3 linked regions of the Schizosaccharomyces pombe genome follow. The gene in region 1 interacts genetically with each later gene. Each region holds a gene or a part of one and is shown on either strand. Other genes may lie near its edges.

The links. Genes that interact genetically often act in the same process or in processes that back each other up.
Region 2: mutations in tim18 (region 1) and trk2 together harm fitness less than expected from each alone (positive genetic interaction), as found in Schizosaccharomyces pombe (one large-scale study listed by BioGRID).
Region 3: mutations in tim18 (region 1) and meu13 together harm fitness more than expected from each alone (negative genetic interaction), as found in Schizosaccharomyces pombe (one large-scale study listed by BioGRID).

Annotation. Positions count from the first base shown.
Region 1 is NC_003423.3:2,032,052-2,039,009, forward strand, and holds tim18 (TIM22 inner membrane protein import complex and succinate dehydrogenase (SDH) anchor subunit Tim18), read left to right. Parts: upstream 1-4,008; 5' UTR 4,009-4,048; coding exon 4,049-4,528; downstream 4,529-6,958. Other genes in the region: MPP complex beta subunit Qcr1, read right to left, coding at 1,419-2,792; SPOM_SPBC29A3.21 (uncharacterized protein), read left to right, coding at 5,041-5,343; Cu(2+) transporting ATPase Ccc2, read left to right, coding at 5,936-6,958. UniProt on the Schizosaccharomyces pombe protein: Membrane-anchoring subunit of succinate dehydrogenase (SDH) that is involved in complex II of the mitochondrial electron transport chain and is responsible for transferring electrons from succinate to ubiquinone (coenzyme Q).
Region 2 is NC_003424.3:255,381-263,174, forward strand, and holds trk2 (plasma membrane potassium ion transmembrane transporter Trk2), read right to left. Parts: upstream 4,116-7,794; 5' UTR 4,082-4,115; coding exon 3,976-4,081; exon of another isoform or gene 3,936-3,975; coding exon 3,781-3,935; intron 3,741-3,780; coding exon 2,840-3,740; intron 2,805-2,839; coding exon 1,849-2,804; intron 1,802-1,848; coding exon 1,799-1,801; intron 1,756-1,798; coding exon 1,736-1,755; intron 1,691-1,735; coding exon 1,675-1,690; intron 1,630-1,674; coding exon 1,417-1,629; exon of another isoform or gene 1,371-1,416; coding exon 1,304-1,370; exon of another isoform or gene 1,233-1,303; coding exon 1,162-1,232; exon of another isoform or gene 1,066-1,161; coding exon 1,047-1,065; exon of another isoform or gene 991-1,046; coding exon 965-990; exon of another isoform or gene 755-964; coding exon 650-754; 3' UTR 501-649; downstream 1-500. Other genes in the region: phosphatidylinositol kinase-like protein Tra2, read left to right, coding at 4,339-4,402, 4,464-7,794.
Region 3 is NC_003424.3:973,976-979,137, forward strand, and holds meu13 (homologous-pairing protein 2), read left to right. Parts: upstream 1-3,733; coding exon 3,734-3,782; intron 3,783-3,828; coding exon 3,829-3,882; intron 3,883-3,929; coding exon 3,930-4,031; intron 4,032-4,073; coding exon 4,074-4,214; intron 4,215-4,302; exon of another isoform or gene 4,303-4,357; coding exon 4,358-4,662; downstream 4,663-5,162. Other genes in the region: GTP-binding protein Sey1, read right to left, coding at 192-2,162, 2,270-2,355, 2,414-2,488, 2,602-2,758; SPOM_SPAC222.18 (Srp1 family splicing factor), read left to right, coding at 4,928-5,046, 5,145-5,162. UniProt on the Schizosaccharomyces pombe protein: Required for proper homologous pairing and efficient cross-over and intragenic recombination during meiosis. Acts indirectly in a process facilitating homologous recombination. Acts during mid- to late-horse-tail period.

The DNA of each region.
Region 1 (6,958 bases):
GTTCCGAAATACTTGATGATTCAGAATAACTGGTATTAAGACAAAAGTAATGACTAGGTTTAAAGCATAGAAGATATATATGTTTAAAATATATCTACAGACATCCAAGGTCGGGTAGCATAGTTGGTTATTGCGCACGACTGTTAATCGTGAGGTCGAGGGTTCGAGTCCCTCCCTGACCGGATATATTTTTGTGTAAATATATTTTGTATATACACAGTTAAACGAGTACTACCAGTTATTTTATTATTGTGCTCATTGAAAATTCTTTCAAAAATCATGTTGAAGCTTTTAACAAAATTTAAAATACCTCTTATCTTTTCTTACACTATATATCTTGTTAAATTTTTTGACAAACGTCTACGGCCATACCTAGGCGAAAACACCAGTTCCCGTCCGATCACTGCAGTTAAGCGTCTGAGGGCCTCGTTAGTACTATGGTTGGAGACAACATGGGAATCCGGGGTGCTGTAGGCTTTTTGCCATATATGTTTTGGTTTCCACTATCGTGCGAACGATTTCAATAAACAAACATTCGTGTTTTTTTCGCTTATGCAAATGGAAAATGTTCATACCAATTTTTAACTCCATAAAAGCCGATATTCCTTACAGAAGATTAACCCGATAAACCCTCGCAGTGATTGAATGAATTGAACGGAATGCTCGACGATTATTCGCAAAAATCTATTTTTATAAAATAAAACTACATAACTACATTATCAAGTCGACTTACTACTACATGAATTTTAACGCAAGTTGCTAATTACGAGCAAGCGCCCAAGAAAAAAGGTACAAAAAAGGAAGAATGAATTCAGATTAACTCTGTAACATTCAAAGTTATGTCGATAAATTTTACAACACGAACGAATCCGTTTCATTTGTAAACATGGGTAGGTTAGTAAGCGGTTTCCGCTAAATCAGCGATAAAGTGAATAGTTGCTAGAAAGAAAGCAAGAAAGTAAAAGAGATTTTCAAGAGACTGCTAAATGAGAAGGGAGATAGAAAAATAAGATGACAAGGAATATCACGGGAGGATAAATTGCAAGCAAAAATGAATGCAAAGGCAGTATAAGAAGTGTCCGAGCAATACACCTTGACAGATAATAAATGAGAGAAAAGTTTAACTCTGAAGAAAGGGGGTTTTCAAAGGTGATGCAGTAAGCAACCGACTTTGCACTATAAACAACTCTGGTATGCTCTCATCTACTGAAATGATATTACTTGTGTGCAAACAGCTTCATATCCAACCGGTGATAGTACTGATCAACACGTAAACAACGTATATTGGTGAATTCAGCTCATATATCTGAAGAGAGCGAAGAGGCAGACGAAATCATAAAGGCGTTAACAAACAATAGCAAAGGATGAGCCTTAAGATTAAATAATAGACAATAGTCAAAAGTCCCAAGAAAATGCGTTTACCAACGGTTCATAGAAATACTGCTACGAATACGGTTGTAGTCCAACAAACCCTCAATGGAACCAACAGCAGAAACAGCAATGTCCTTGTCCCAAATCATCTCGGAAGCAACGCGGGCTACATCTTTTTCAGTGATTTGACCGATACGGAGATCAACCTCTTGAGGGCTCATACGACGACCAGTTGTAAGCAATTGGCGACCAATGTCCTCTGCAATGGCGGTCGTTGAATCCAAAGAAAGTAAAAGCGAAGCACGGAGTTGTGCCTTGGCACGTTCAACCTCAGCACGAGTTGCAACGGTTAAACGAGCCCAGTTTTGGAGGGTAAAGTGGACGAGATCATCAATACGGCCAAGGTTCTCAGTGACAAGATAAATACCCCAAAGTCCAGTATCACTATAACTAGTACTGAAACTCATGAAGCTATTGGCAAGTTGATGTTGTTGAACAATAGTACTAAGACGAGAAGACAAATGGGGAGATGCTCCCATAGCACGGTCCCAGTTACCAATGATGGCTTGCATGACTAATGCAGTAAAGTAATCTGGGTGTTTCCAACTCATACCTTCAACAGCAATGGCAATGTTGGCAGTTGGTGAATCATCGTCACGAGCACGGATTTCAGACCCGACGAAACGAGGTTTGAGTCCACGAGGAGCACCAAGCGACAATTGCTCAGCTGAAGGCTCCAAATGGCCAAAATATTTTTCGGCGAGCTTTACAAGCTCCTCATGAGATATCGAACCGGCAGAAGAGATAATCATTCTATCACTACGGTAGTTGTCCTTAATATACTGGAGAAGGTCCTCACGGGTAAGAGATTCGATGTTTTCCTTAGGACCCAAAATTGTACGTCCAAGAGGATGACCCTGATAAGCGGTAGCATGTAAATGATCAAAGACTACTTCATCGGCCATTTTGTCAACCTCTTCTTGCTCTCTTAAGATGACTTGGCGTTCACGCTCAACCGCCGAGGCAGAAATGCTTGAATTTGTCAGGATATCGGCCAAAACGGCAACTGCATTAGGTACAGCGTTTTTGAACGCATGTGCATAATAAACGGTTTGTTCACGAGAGGTGTATGCGTTCAAATGTGCACCAGTATTTTCAAATTCCAATTCCAATGCTTTTTGGGAGCGATTTTTCGTTCCTTTGAACGCCAAATGTTCCAAAAAGTGAGCAGCGCCATTATTTTTTGCCGTCTCAGCTCTTGAGCCAGCATCAACGCCCACAAGGACGGTCGCTGTTTGGGCATACGGATGATGTTCCGTAGCAACTGTAAGCCCATTTTTTAAAGTAGTGGTTTCTGTTTTTGGTAAAGCAGTAGTCGCAAAACGACGTACTAGCTTTGGCAAATTCTGAAGCCTCAGCATAGTAATATCAATTCAAGCTCCTTTGGTTGGGTGGGATTCTGTGGATGGTAAAGGGTAAGTAGGTAGCAAGAAGGTATTCCGTAGAGGTGTAGCGTAATACGTGTTATCGAGGTCCCAAGTTCGAATTTCGGCAAATGACCAATTGATCCCATTTAATAAAAAAAGAAAACTAGCAATCCTTGAATCCCTTACTAGAATTTCCATGTAGAGAAAAATAAGAAGTTGACCATTCAAACAGAAACTTTCGGATTGCCTAGTCTTTGCCCTGTGCGCAATTTGCTATAAAGGAAGGAAACGAATGACCGTACAATCCAGTTCATGATATAATATATCTCTACTTAACATGGAGAATCTCATTGGTAAAAAACTATGTAGGGGATATATTGTTTCATCGGTATATTGAAAAGAATCTATATGACATTGAATCAGACAGGGTAAGACACTTCATCAGGTTAAGTTCGTATTCATCTACATTAAAAGGTTATTTATACTTAACGAAATTCTCTTTTCCATGATTTCCATTACAATATTTCGGTTAATACATTTTTAAAAAAATAACAGTCCAACTATAGAATTTTGACTAGCACCGAATCAAGCATTGTTATACATCGACTATTGAGTAGCTTGATGGTTTCTTTTTATGAGAATAGTTTTTTATATAAATGATATTAATTTAAATAAAATTTTCATCCTCTTAAAACCGTTTCTCTAACCTTTTTTTAAGCCAATGCAGCACCTTTATATTAGCATAATTGCTACAAGTAAATTTCTATAGCTTTATCTATATTATATTATTAAGTAAAAAGATTTACAGTAGATTATTGTTTTTTCACAATGTAGTGCTTTCCGTAAAATTTTTTTTGAAACTGCAGTAACTTTTGGTACTGTGTAATATTATAATAGATATTCAAACTCACCACAAAACCCATGTAATATTATATGTAGAAGGTAATTCGTTTTCAGCAGTGAATAATATTATTATAAAAAGTAATAACCAGGTTTTGAAACGACCTTAAAGACCGGAGATTCTTCTGAATAAACTTATTAATCTATTATATCTATTTAAATTTCTAGTCTTTACTCTATGTTATACAATTTTTCGTTTATGAGTAGATAGATTTAGGTTCTCATCGCCTATTTCCGGCCACTCCAAGCTCAACACATCGAGCTGTTGAATGGCCAATAATGTGGACACAAGATCCGCCAATACGAACTCACCTACTACCACCACCAGCTTTTCTTGGTTTACAAACAATATGTTACAAACACGTTTAGGACTTGGAGCACTTCGTCAAGGACGTCTTCTTTTTGCAGTTAAATCTTTTAGCACAACCAGTGTTGCGAAAATTTTCCCTCCTCCCCCTCAGACCATTAAGGGAACTGTTAATGATGCTGCTGTTTTCCCTCACCACAGTAAGCTCCACGGAAGCTATCATTGGGACTTTGAAAGAATTATTGCTATTGCCATGGTTCCTCAAGTCATGATCCCTTTGTTCACCGGAACTTCTCATCCCTTAATGGACGCTGCATTGGCTTGCACCTTGATTACGCATGCCCACTTGGGGTTTGAATCTTGTGTGATTGACTACTTCCCTGCAAGAAGATTTAAGAAGTTATCTCCTTTGATGCACTGGATCTTACGTGGATGTACTGTTCTTACACTTATTGGCGTCTATGAGTTCAACACGAATGATATTGGCCTTACGGAGGGTATTAAAAAGCTTTGGAAATCTTAAGCTTCTTTCCATGCAAACCCATATAACCCCACTTATTTTTTCATAATGATTATTCCTTTCCTTTTTCTTTTTTATTCTCCTTAATCCGTCATCTAGTAAGTTTTGGGCTTGAAACTTACCAGTTCAAACCCCAAAACTGCCAATTGATATTCTGCAGTTGATCTTTGCTCTTTTCTTGATTTCTGGCTTGATTGATCCTCTCAATTTATCTGTGTAAATCTGTTTAGCGCTTGCACAGTATGTTTATGTTTACCTTCAACGATAATTTTTCTAGTGGGAGTGGTTAGAAGACTATTCAAGTTTGTGGCAGCTCTTGTTAAGGTCCTTATGTCGACTTGAATTAATAATTCTTCCAAGACAAAATCCATTGAATTATTTTATTGGGTGTCCCATTTATTATTTATCGTTTAGAATGGGTCAACAATTTACCCATGTACGCTTCGTTCCCTTATTCTTTGATAAGGTATTAGAAGACATGCTCTAACGTTTACCGTTTTAATCTCATTTATCGAATGTTGCGTTACAATTTTCGATATTTACATAACGTTCTTAGCCATACTGTTGTATTTTGCTTTACCGAAGTGTCTTTACACATTGTTAAGCAATTGGGAGTGGAATCATATGCTTGCACTGTGCATGCGTCTCGGTTCCAAAAGTCGTACTCTGCTTCGATCGATTATTGTCAAAGATTTTTATTCTCCTCGAATTTAAAACATAATTATGTCAATTTGAATATTATTTTTACAAGTTGTATATTTCGTAGTTTGCGCGAGTTTTTGCGGTTTTATATCGCTGCCATCATGTGCTTTTTGTAATCTACCACACACTCACTAACACTTTGTTAACAAGTTCAGCTGATAATTTGCTCTTCTTCTGTAGTCTGTTGAAGTTGAATTCGTTTTGTTTTGTATTTTTTTCTAAATCGTTTTGTGGTGAAAATCACGATACAATAAGCGAATTCGAATTCTGAATTCGTGGTATCCCAACCTAAAACAGCTAACTGCTAAGCGTGTAAAAAGACTTTATTAGCTGGCTTTGTTTAACATTGGTATCGTTTTTGTTATTTTTCTTTTCCTTCCAAAGTTTTGTATGTTGATTTTCTTTTGTTGATCATCGGCTTGTCTCTTTTTGCTGTTGACTTACATTAAGTAATTGGTTTTAATCGTCAAATTTTGATTATTTCTTCACTTGAGGGGGTTTCTTTTTTTTTTTACGTCTCTTGTCTTTGATTTGGGTTCCTTACTATTATCTATTTATTTCGACATTTCCAACATTTATCGTTTCTATACAGTAACTCGCTTCTCTTAATTTTCCTTATTTAATCTCTAATTGGCTTGTACTATTTCTTTTTCGTTATTTCTTTTTATAATTTAGATTGCCTTTAAAAATTTTGTTTAGTTTCTTAAAATGTATACTACTACACTTTCAGTCCAGGGTATGACATGCACCAGTTGTGTGGCCTCTATCCAATCCATGTTGGAAGGAGTGGAAGGAATTGAACAATTCACTATATCGTTGCTTCTTGAGCGTGCTATTGCCGTTCATGATCCTAGCATTATCTCACCGGATCAGATCGCTGAGAAAATTGAAGATTGTGGATTTGATGCGTCTGTGATTTCTTCAACAGAGGGTGAACATGGTGTCATGGCTAATTATTTATTACTTTCTCCTATGCAGGCGGAACAATGGACCAAAGTACATAATCATATCAATGAACTGCAAGGCGTTTTGTCCGTCAATTGCTCTTCCTCCCCGGATGCAGCTATACGTGTCATTTATGATTCTGAGATTACTGGCCCTCGTTCCATCATGAAGGAAATATTATCTATGGGTGTCAAATGTACATTTCAACCAGTAGATTCCTCCACCTCTCGTATTCTGTCACTTCAACGAGGGAGTCAAATTAGAGTATGGAAAATCCGATTTATTATTTCAATATCATTCTCTTTGGCGGTGATGTTTTTACCCCAGATATTCGATTCTTGTGATTCCATGCGTGCTGCTTTTTTGGTCCCCCATTATTTTGGTATATGTGCTGGCCACATCATCAGCCTAGTATTATCCCTTCCCGTCCAGTTTGGTGTTGGAAGGGTCTACTATTCTGCCGCATATCATGCACTGAAAAGAGGAACAGCCAATATGGATGTTTTAGTATCTTTGGGCTCCACTGTAGCCTTCGCTGCCAGTATCTTTTTCATGATTCTCTACAGCGCTAGACATGCTGATAATCCTGCTCCTATATTTTTTGATACCGCTGATATGCTATTGACGTTTGTTACGTTAGGTCGTTATTTGGAAAGTAAAGCTAAAGGTTCTACATCAGCTGCTCTTTCTCAACTGTTGAGCCTTGCTCCTTCCAGTGCAACGATAATAGAAGACAATGAACAAATTGAGATCTTAGCTGATCTCATCGAGCGTGGAGACCTCATT
Region 2 (7,794 bases), on another chromosome or scaffold:
TTCATGTCCGACATAAAAAAAAAGAAAAGCTGTGTTTCATTTTGATCCGTTTAATGCTTTATTTTTTCATTCCCTTTGCTTTTGCTACCGAAACTGTCGGCAAACACCACCGTTCATTTCATATTCGTCATTTACCGAATTTTTTTTCATCCCGCAAATCGTCGATCTCATAATTATCGGGTAGCGTTTGAACGATTAAAAACATATAAGCATCATCCCAAATCGATTTAAGCATTAAACACTACACCCTAATCTTGTCCTACAAACATACTATAAAATCAATGCGACAATACAAACACTTTACAGTACAGTGACTTTTTGTGAGCTCGTCACAATTCCCGCAGGCGGGCATTACCCTCATTTCTTCCCGAATATACTTTGATTACACTAATAACTATTTACAAATAAATTGATCAAATTTCTTATTGACCACAAATTCTAAACATGAAAACTTTAACGAATGTAGTGAAAACAAGTAAATGTACATACCAAACAAAAGTGTAAAATAAAATAAAACAAAAAGTTCTTTTAAGGCCCAATCAGTTAAAATGGCACAGAACCAGAAGATACAGTACAAGTTTCATTAGCTCCTGACCTTGCCTTGCATTTTCATAGAAAGTAAGTCTAATCAACCGTGAGGTTATAATCATTAAGAACTGGGTACCGGGTCTGCTCTATTAGTATTTTTTTTCCCGTGACGTCTCATATAATCCTCTTCTTCCCGGTCAAAGTTTTTATCCGAAGGCATTAGCACCTAAAGTAAATAAACCGTTAGTAGATTCATTTTTAAGTGTATCTTCTAACTATAGAAAGAAGGTGTGTTGCGATGAAAATAAAAACCTTTCTCAATTATAAGGTTTTGTCATTGCTAAATGGATTTTTTGAACACATCAAAACTGCACATCTCATGACATTTCAAAATCATCTGCTAACACCCTTTAAATCGTGTTTAGTTCAAACTTACTGCTCTATCTAATGCACTTGGAAGTCCTGTTTTTTTAAAATCGTTAATACCCTTCTCTCTTGATAACATCTTAGTGACTCACCTCTATGTCGTCCACGAATCTAAACCATTATTAGACACTGATATTTTTGCAAAAAAGCCAGAAAAGGAAATAGTTGTAGCACCTTAACCTTCTTAGCACAAAACATTTAACGTACCTGTAGTGCAACCATAACAAGTTTGCTAATTTTCCGAAACTGAGCCGTAAGCGAAGGATCATTTTTGTACCCTTTTATGAGTTAATACAGCACATGGGAAAGCCACAATTGTATAACTTAAAACAAGCGAACATGCACATACCTAAGCTTAGGCCCACAGTGCCATAGCCTGAAATCACCTCGAATAAAATAGCAAAAAGCGTAAATTGCTATTCCGTTAATTAATAAGTTATTTGCTTAGCACTTTCAACGTACCGGTTCCGCTTCCGACTCTAATCGACGACCTTCGACTATAGTAATTATGAAGTAGCCTAGGAATAAATACCACAAATCGTGACTCAGTTGCCTTTGTATATGGTCCATCAAAAAATTTTTCCTTTTCGGCGTATTATTATCATTATTATTATTATTAATATTATTATCATCATCATTTTCGGTGTCTGCTGCATATATTCCAAGAGAACGTTCCTAAAAAGCTATTTAGTTTAAAGTCTACTAAAGTTTCGCATTTACCTCGTAAACATTAGTTCTAGTCCATTGTTAGTATATCAATTATATAATAAAGTAAACGTACTGTCGAATACTCATTGCGATCTAATGATCAGTCAGTATTTTGCTTGTTCATGCAAGTCCTTACTGGCTAAATTAAACGTTAGCATAAAACTCTTTAAATCGAAATATACTTACATAGGCAGAGATATACATCATAAACATGTAGGTCACCATTACTGCCGGAGCAATTTGGCTTAAATCAACCACCGTAAAGCCAGCAGAACGTGTAGCTGCGTTTTGAAATATAGCATTCATAATTCGATAACCAACTGGAATTTTGTCAACATATGAATTACCCAAGTCTAAAACCATAAAAAAGAAAAAGGAAGCAAAATTCAATAAAGTTAAATTTAAAAAAAGCACCCAAGTAGTTTTTGAAGGAAACAGAAGAGTAAAACTTCGTCGAGGGTGTTCGAAAAGAAAGTACAAAGCTTGCTGGAAATTAGGCGAAAATCTCGTTGTTCGTATCATAATCCAAATTATAAACCGGAGCATAATTGGAAAGAAAGTATTCCCTAAAAATATCAGAATAGTTCCAAGAACCTGAGGAAATATGGCTTTTTGAAAGGAATTTAAAGAATCGCTGTTCAACGAATAGCCTAGATTATCAAACAGCGAACTAGAAGTAAACGCTGCCCACCAGCCTCTATTTATACCGCCGTCCGTAACTACACGACCGGATGTTTTAGCAGTATAAATGAATATTAGGAACGCAACCAAACCAAGAATATGCCAAAACAGAAAATAAACCACTAATATGACAGTCAATATCCTGAGAGATTCATATTCAATTCCCGCCAATTCTTCTCTCTCCACTGGAGTTAAGGCATAAAATGCAGAATTTCTGCCCACTGTTGCATTGTACGATAAATAAGGTAAACTCATTGTGCTAGCTTTCGTGTGAGTACGGTTGAATGTGAGTCTTCGAGGAAGAGCAGATGTAAATGATTTGGCTAATTGAAATGGTAGGACAGACATTGAGCGCTCATTCCTGTGAAGTGTAGGTGTAACAGCAAATGATTTACCACGTTTTCTACCTCGTCCATCAAGTCGATGAGCACCTTTTTCCTGCTCAGCTCCATTCGTGTCATCTAAAGGTCAATATTAAAATCACGGAATGACTTACCAGCAAAATATATAGGCCTGCGATTATGCCTGGGAACAGGGGTTGGTGCAATGGTAATTGCAGAGCCGCGTACTACATTTTGATGTGCATCGTTAGTAGTTGCAGCAGCCTGATGATCAAAATTCGAATTTTGAGGTGAATAAGATGCTACATGTGGATCATTGTCAACTCTTGTTGTGCTGTAGTTTGAGTTTGAGGATGAAACAGTTTCCTGATTACCATCATTTGCAGTTTCTAGGGAAGGATTGTGCGAAGAGATAGAACTGTTGTTATCCAGATGATGGTTCAGTTGTGTTTGATTCTCGTGGTCATGTACTTGAGGCTCAAAATCCTCAGGAATTGTTTGAAAAGATGATTCTTCAAACGAACTAGGAATGTAAAAGTCGACAGGATTATTTCTAGCATTGTTTTGTACAACGGATAAAGATCCATTGTCGATTGATGCCATTCTTCGTTTCCCAAGAGCTGGACTTAATGCTTCAGTTCTGTCTTCATTTTCTTGAGAATTTCTAACACCTGCATAACTAGGGAGAGCGGGCATGGTATTCCCGCGAAAGAAGCTTGGGCGATCGATTGCATTAGCAAATTTCCTTAGACGAAAATGGTGCCTGTGATGTTTTTCATTCTCTTGGTGTTCAGCTTCCTCAGCCTTAGTCTCTGGGGCAACTGGCCGGTGCATTTGATTACCCTGGTCTAACAAAACCCGAATTTTTCGATTGCCAACTTTGGAAGGCTCTGGAGTATCCCTTCTTCTTACAGTGTGATAAGTATATGTCATCCTAAGTTTATTATTTGTTATGACCATGTCATATCGCTTGTTATAGAAGTACAGCTTAAACAAAGTCAAGCCCAGGTTCACAGTAATTGGTGTACTCAAAACTCCAAAAAGGAGAATAGTTAACTAAAAAATAGTTAAAAAATTTATTTAAAAATATGCATACCTGTTGGTAAATGGATATCTGCGTGAGGTCCACAGGCTGCAAGCCAGTCTGAGTACAAGAACCAGAAGCCAACAACAAAGCATCTATGTAGCGCAAATTTCCCGACCCATACAATATTACTGAACATAAAATAGTCATTCCTATTATAAAAGAATCTTGAACAAAGTTAGGCTTGAAAAGAAGTTTTTCACATACAATGGTATTCAAGGAACCGGAACCGTTTGTAGAAAAACCCGATAACTGCATGATAAAATCTGTATAATATTTTCCTTCTTAAAAACCTTCTATATCGTACAAACATGTCATAGTTTATAAAGCAGTATTATATTGTATTTGATAAAAATTACACTCACGTCGATTTCAAATAGCTTCAGTGGCTTCTTGAATAGTGCAGTTTTGCGTCCTCACTATACGATTCACCTTGAACATAGCAACAACTAAACAACATCTGACAGTAATCGTTCTGTGCTTTTTTACAGCTGTGTCCAAAATCTCGTAGTGTATCAAGTTTGGTTTCAAAGATTTATTAAAAAGTATCTGCATGGACCGAACTTTGTTATGGAAGACGGTTTTGAAAAGTCGCTCAGCAGCTCTATAGAGCTACTGAAAGCTGAAAGTACAGGTATATAAATTTTTGTAGATATTTTGATTCATTTTTTTATTTTATACTAACTTTTTTTAAGAAATAGAAGAAAAAATCAAACTAACTAAAATTTTAATTACTAAGGTTTCTAGCATATCTTCAGACGCCTCGCAGCTGTATGCAGAATTAATTCCACTACTCTTGGATTTTTTACGAAATACAGAGGTGAATCTTTATAGAAATTCTTCTGTCAATGAACTCAAGATCGAAGCATTGACTTTAATACAAAGTTGCGCTCACCGTGATGAATTTAAACAATATGCGCAGTCTTGTGTGCTTTCGTTCATTAGCTTGATTAAAGCAGATAATGAAGAAGTCGCTGTTTTTTGCTTAAAAGTTATTATGGATATATTCAAAACTTTTAAGTTTTGTATAGAAAGCACTGCACAACCCTTTTTTGACTTGGTACTTGAGCTTTCTACAAACCTTCCTTATTTAATTCCCTCAATATTTGTCGAGAATCCAAAATCAAATGAAGAGGAAAATACAACCCTGGCTTTTGGTAGTTATCTGTCTACGGAAACTTCAATCATCCAACAGCGTGTCAATTCTTTAGCTATTTCTACTCAACCTTTGGAACTGGCTTCTCAAAGTTTCCGCGTGTATGTAGAGTGTCCGGTCATTATAGTTTTGATTCTTCAAGCATATCGTCAAGCTGCTTTCCCTGGTGTTCAAGCCATAATTCCCTGTTTTCTTAAGATGGTACAAATTGATGTTCCAATAGACATCGCTTCATATGCAATGATTGAAAAAGATTCAAGCATTGACTTTATTGAGTTTATAAGGAATAAATATCAGTACCGTAATTTTTTTATGGCTCAAGTAAAGACTTTATCTTTCTTGGCTTATATTTTACGAACTCATCCCAATACACTTTCTGAGAAGGATATAATACCGGACATTGTAATAAAGCTTTTGAGGCGATGCCCTTTTGATATGTGTTTTGCCCGTAAAGAACTGCTGGTTGCTACGAGACATATTCTGTCAACAAACTTAAAATCTCTTTTTGTCAAAAAGCTGGATTTTTTGTTAGATTTAAATATATTATTAGGAAATGGAGTTGGTACTCAAAAGCTGTTACGTCCCTTGGCATTTAGTACATTAGCTGACTTACTTCATCATGTACGTGACGAACTTAACGAAACGCAAATAAGAAAATCTATAATGATTTATTCGACCAATATGCATGATTTGACTCTTAGCATTGGGTTACAGACTATGGGTGCCCGGCTCATTTTAAACATGGTTGACAGAATGATTAGTCTTCCTAGCATCCCCGATGCTATATTTCTTCTTTTATCTATTTTTGATAGCTTTGTAAATAAGTTTTCGGAACTTAATGATAGTTTGGATCAGTTTTTTAAGAAAAAGTATGAAGAAGAAATTAAAGAGACAAAGTCACCGACGCGTTCTTCTCCTAGGGATTTATCTTCATTTAGCACTTCCGTCAATGATGGATCATTTCTTTTTAAAAACTTGATGTTTGGCTTACGGGCTCTTATGTATGGGCTTCGTACATGCAAGTCTCGATGCATAGAAATTGGAGGTGAACAATTTTCGGGATTCCTTACGAATATCAAGCCTTTCGAAGCTGTTACGTTTCAGAAGCTTTTTTTTGAGGTTGGCAAAGGATTCTCATATTTTCGACCTGAGCAAGTCTATTTAGAAACTTTTTTCTGCTGCGAAGAAGAAAGTTTAGATCGCCCTGCTATATCTACGCTTCCTCGTAACAAAGACGAGAAAGATTGTCTTGAAGTATTTGCTACCATTTTTATACATCTCGAGCCATCTATATTTCTTAAAGTTTTTGAAACAAACCTTCCTACTTTTTTTGATCAACTTAAAAAAAATCTCACATTATTTCACATTCCACAGTTTTTGCTTTCAAATGAGAGCACATCATCAAAATTTTTAAATATTTTACTTCGATTTCTGCTTTCCAGAATTGAGGAACTCGGATCTTCTGACATCAGGCATGGTTCTGTCTTGTTGCGTTTGTTTCGTCTTTCTTTCGTTACAGTCTCAATGTTTGCAACAGAGAATGAGCCAGTTCTTCGGCCTTATGTATCTGAAATTATTGTGAAATGTATGAAGTTGGCTCCCAATTCTGCTAATTCATTGAACTACTATTATCTATTAAGAGCGTTGTTCCGAGGAATTGGTGGGGGAAGATTTGAAAGCCTTTATAAAGAAGTAATGCCTTTGTTGCACGCTCTATTAGAGGCATTTAATTCATTGCTTATATCTGCCCGTACTCCGAAGGAGAAAGACCTTTTTACCGAACTTTGTCTTACTATTCCTGTAAGGCTTAGTCTTTTATTACCATACATGAGTTATCTAATGAGACCTCTCGTCATGTCTTTAAAAAGCAGTCAAGAATTAGTTAGTCAGGGATTACGAACCTTTGAATTATGCTTGGATAATCTCACTCCTGATTTTTTGGATCCGATAATGGCTCCTTACATAGAAGATCTAATGAATGCTTTATGGAGTCATCTACAACCTCTTCCTTATAATTATAATCACAGCCATACTGCCTTGAAAATACTTGGTAAACTTGGTGGAAGAAATAGGAAGCTTCTTGATAGAGTCCAGAGTTTAAAGAATTCGCCGGAACCGAATAACGATTTTACTTTACTTCTTTCGATAAAAGGGGTTAAACAACCACAACTTTTACATTACACCCAATATGTTGATGAGGCTGTGAATTTGCTTTCTAGCCCTTCTAGTGATCTGGAGGTTAAGCAACAAGCGTTCACTTATGTTTGCAATATTTCAAAGCTCTATGTTTATAAGAGTGACGCTACTAACAGCTTAGCCTCATCCATTCGATGTACTGCAGACAAGATTTCTAAGAGTAATTTTGATTTTCGACGACCATATTCTGTAATACCGAGCCGAATGACTGGAAGGAGTTCATTCACCCAACTGAGTGATGATTCAGATGAAACCATAATTTTGGCCTCGGCTACATATGGACTTTTTTTTGCTACGACGGTTGATGAACTCCGCGAAGAAGCTTACTTCTGGCTTGAAAAACTGGCGGTCAACGTAATTGTACACGATATTTTTTATGCTTTTGACGTTATTCAAGGAAATCATTCAAAATTTACGACTAATTTGCAAAAGGAGGTTATTATTAGTCCTCATTATTTTGCTCATTGTCTATCAGAAGTCGTTTGTAATGACAATAGCAAGATGGGTGATGCTGTGAAACATGTACTTAAATTTATGTTTAGTTTTTTAGAATCGATTTTTGAAAATCCAGAAAGGGCTTTTATCCTTCCAATTTTTGAGGTCTTATTATCTGATTTCCGGCACAAATGTTATGACCCTCATTGGTATAAAAAATACGGAGGCTGTTTTGGATT
Region 3 (5,162 bases), on another chromosome or scaffold:
AATTGTTCCAGGACAGTGACTTTTTACAGCAACTGAAAAGGAAGCAATAGTAAAATATCAGGTTAATAGGTTCATCATTGCTCAAACATTAGTCTATCAATCAGACAGTAACTTAATAAAAAAATCCAGTGAGCGATTTATACAGGTGAATTTTAAATGCCACAATTTCGTTATTCTTTATAGCAGACGAATCATGAAAGCGCAGTTTTTTCTGCTTCGGCGTCATCGGCTGATGCAACTGGTGAACCGCTTTTCTCGGTCCTCTGCATAGCTCTTTGTTGAACTTGCTCTTGATAAGTATTAGAAAATCTATCTGTAGCTAAATCAACCAGATTGTTAGTGGCCCGTTCCAAAACCATCTTCGCAGGCCAAATTAAGCCAGAAATATATAAACCATAAACCACAGTACCTCCAAACATAAGGATCATAAAAACGAATGGATTGCGGAGAATAGCCATAAATTCATTCCAACCAAGGACTATTAGCAATACCCAAAAGTATGGGGGGATTCTGGTGGTTGTATTGATTACGGAACGTTTGCAGTCCATAAATATCAAATCCGCAGATCTCTTGAAATTAACAGATATGTCGGACACACGTCTACGATTTAGAATAGTAAAAAATGAAGCTGGCGAGGTATACTCTGGCTCCAAAGTCTTTATGTCAACGTTCAAGTCCGGATAATTGCCATCCGAAACTTTAATAGAGGCCAAAACGTTGATCAAGTCTAACGTTTTGGTTAAACTTTCCCGATAATCACGGTCAATCGTTCCCGACTTCTTCCACAATTTTGGCATCCCATCACTGTCATATCGAAATAGTTCTTCAAAATAAACTCGTAAACGCTGCTGTAGTAAAACCTCGCTCATTTCAGAATCAATTTTCTTTCTAAAAAACAGCCAACTGTTCTTTTTAAAATTGATAATATATTCTTCCGTTGTTTTAGTATCATCAATATCCACATAAAAAGGAACAATATTTTTTATTTTTTCAATAGTAGTATTTTGAGCAGCTAAGAATTCATTGAGAAGCGTATCCCAAACGTTATGAGAAAGTTTTTGGAAAGCGACCTCAACAGCTTCCGAAACTTCAAACTCGAACCCAGTAAACAACTCTTCCAACTTCTCTTTCAACTTTTCCTTACAAAGCGTTTCGGAATTTTGGGTTAACTCTTCCGATAATTTTAGAATAAATGGATCAACATCCCAGTGAACATGTGGTAAAGACAAAGATTCACCTTCCTCACGCATTTTGTTGACAAGTTCGTTAATTTTAATAGAAGATGATTCTTTAAAAGGCGTATCAGAGGGAAATTCATTTGAGGCGTCAAAAAATGATTTAATAAGCTCCTTGTGTAGAGCGTTCAACTGGGCTTGGAAAAATACATAAAGATGAGAATCTACCGAAGCAATAAGCTCCTGCTTTTTCTTTTGATAGATATGCACGTTGTATCTACTAGCCTGTCGATCATAAGCTTCGATAACAGTTTCAAACATGTTTAAGAGCTTGGTAGGAAGGTCCTTGCATAAATTACCGGGTAAAAACTCTTTTTGTAAAATAGTACAAGCAGTAGAAAAAGGTTCCATTACTTCAGTAATAATCTCATCGCAACGATATTGAGCAAGCAATTGCTGTTGTGTAGGTAAATCAAGGTCCTTGTTGTTTTCAATGGTGTCCCATATCTCACGAGTATAAAGAGAAAAACCATCAGCGGGGATTTTTTTATGATAACTCACATTAAATATGTAATCAGAATTATTGTTATCCACAAATCTTTCACGCAAACTATCAACAGCTTCACTGAAAGCATCAGAACATAAAATCTTATGTGGTAAACCAGTGAAGCCAACATCAAAAAAGTCATTAATTACGGAATTTTCGAATCCTTCTGGTTTCGAAAGGGATGCCCAAATGTTATTCAAATCGGTCATAATAGTATCTGCTAAATTTTCCATTGAAGTATTTCCCAAAAAATCCCGAATAACAAATTGAAGCAAGCACCTTTCTTTTTTGTTATGAAAAAGTTGTAAATTGACTTCTAGTACTGTTTTAAGTAATGCCATGTTTGAGCCTTGGTATAGACCAACCTGATTTTCCCACATATTAACGATAATTACTTCACTAGTTGAAATGGAAAATAAAGCTGATTTTCTTTCAAAATCCTAGGTTGGTTAGTAATGACTCCAAAAGAAAATATTGATCAATTATGAGTAAAGGAAATACTAATGTGTAACTAATAGTAACAAATTAGTTCGCATTAAAATCTTACCTGATCTTCACCGCGCTCTCTACCATCGGTGCCTTCTACATCCATTACAAGAATAGGCGAATTGTTTGCCTTCGACAACCAAATACCTAACAAAAATTAGCAGCAAGCTCAGATGTTTTAATTAAAAAGAAATAATAGATTTACCTTTAGTAGTTTGTTGCCTTTTGGAAGCATCCATTACTGAAAATGAAGTCCCAAATAAATTATTTAGCAATGTACCTAATCATAGAGTTAATCAAATTTGCTCAGTGAAAGCTTTAAGTATCCAATTTAAAAGGATGTTATAACATTGGTTGGATATAGAACTCTCAAGTTGATTTTAATCTACTTACTCTTGCCAGTAGATTGGGAACCCAAAACGGCAACAACATGATAGTTGAAACCAGCATCTAACAGTCCTACGCTTTGCATAAACTTTGGTAATTCATTGTTGAATTGTTTATGTTCATCCACAATTTGTGTGGAAACCCTATTGGAAGCAGTACTCATGTTTTGGTGTAAGCGGAAGACAAGTTAACAAACATATAAGGTAGTGTGATGTCGAGGATGTAATATATCCTGACAACATTTTCAGTATTCATTAACAAATATATAACTATTTAAGTTAAATTATTGTAAAAAGACAGGTTTTGCATAATTTTGTTTATATAAATATCATGAAACAGATGATACTTTTCCTATAGTAAACTAGCAATGGCATAACAACACTCGTTAGCTCTTCCTTTCTAATGTTTACTAAGTTACTCTGCGAATGTTCAGATGTTTGTCTGTTAGCTCCATATATTTTCTTGTTAAAATTATGATTTTTAAAGAAAGAAAATACCAAGGATTTAGTTGAAGAAAGGAATGTATTTTAAAGAGTCATTCGGCCATTGTTTTGAATCTTTTCACAATGGTCTTCAAAGACTTATCGCATTTACAGACAGGAAATTTGTGCTTTTCTAAAAAGGAAACAGATTTGTATGTTTACAGAGAACAGTACTTAATAATAGGTATTAGATGCAAAATCAAGAGTGTAGCTTAAACGTTTCTCAAAAGCGCTTCGTAGTATTCGACGATATCGGTTTCATTCAATTTGTGAAGTGTTTTTGACGTTGCCGAATATGCTAAAAAAGTACAAACATACTATAATATAGCCCTTCGCAAGGTTGGAAATTATTTAATTTAATAAAATTTCTAGCATAGCTTTAGGAATCGAATTCTTTGTACTAATGTCTCACTATCCTATGCAACCTTCTTTCATTGACACGATGCGCAATTCAACCCATCGTTATGAGTACTTTATATAGGTGCGTAAAATAGTTAAAATCCTTTCTCATGGATTTTCTTCCTTAGTTTAGCTAAGAACAAAGGAGAATGGCTTGGGGAAAACGCGTTGTCTCCGCCACGCGTAAATATTATATATAAATGTTTGATGCTACATCGCGCTTTTACTATTTTCCTCACACATCGCAATTGTAGCAAATGGCTAAGGCGAAAGAAGTAAAAGCGAAACCTATTAAAGGAGAGGAAGGTATAATATTGACAAAAGGCATTGGTATTCAGCTAATCAATCGCAGCTGAAAAACTTGTTTACGAGTATTTACGAAAAACGAATCGTCCCTATTCTGCAAGTAAGAACATACATTAAAAAAATCGAAGCTGACAATTTTGTTAAAAGCTGACGTTAGTGCTAATTTGAAAAATGTTGTCAGTAAACAGGTCGCGCAGAAAGCATTGGAGCAGCTACGCGACACTGGACTAATCCATGGGAAACTATATGGTACTGAAAAATTAGTTAAACAGATTACTAACGATTACTGAGGAAAACAAAGTGTGTTCGTTTGTCTTCAAGATGACTTGGCAGCTGCTACTCCTGAAGAATTGGCTGAAATGGAGAAGCAAATTCAAGAACTAAAAGATGAGGTTTCAGTTGTTAAAACTCTATACAAAGAGAAATGCATTGGTCAGTAAATAAATGCTATTCTTTAAAATGTAGAATGATACTTCACATAATATGCATGATTTAAAACAGATCAAAGTTTTATTGATGGTATCGTTCATTTGTTTTGAGCGTACACAGCACTTGTTTTATGCTAACTCTAAAAGAATTACAAGCTTTAAATAACTCACTCAGTCCAGCCGAAATTCGTGAAAAAATTCAGAGCATTGATAAAGAAATTGAAGAAACCAGCTCAAAACTCGAATCTCTTCGAAATGGTACCGTTAAACAAATTTCCAAGGAAGCAATGCAAAAGACTGATAAAAACTACGATTTTGCAAAAAAAGGATTCTCAAACAGAAAGAAAATGTTTTATGATTTATGGCATTTAATTACTGATTCCTTGGAAAACCCTAAGCAGTTATGGGAAAAACTGGGATTTGAAACGGAGGGACCAATTGACTTAAACTAAAAACTTAACTTTAAATTTAGCTGATCCCTTTTTAACATTTTAATCATTAAATTTATATAGCTCAAAGAAAAGTCATTATCCATAGTTAAATATAAATACCTTAGCAGACAACTGCTCTAATATGTGCTTGCATTGCTGCACAACATTACCTGTCCTCTTGCTATACTGTGTGGTTATGACTAGTGCTTCTTACGTCGTGATAGCTTTGATTTTTTGGTTAAAGTAGAAAGCCTAGTGAAAGCATTAGATTTTGCAATTTAAGCTAATGTCTAATGCACCATCAAATACGCCAACAGGGTTTAATTATAAACCTGGGCATACTTTGTATATTCGAAATTTCGGAACGGATATGAGAGCCCGGACACTAGGCCAGGCCTTTGAAAAGTAATTGTTATTGAATGACTGATTGTAGATTACAACTTTGGTTTTCAGTCAAGTGATCTCTATTTTTGTATCGCATCTGTTCTAATTGATGATAATAGATGGGGTAGAATAGTTCG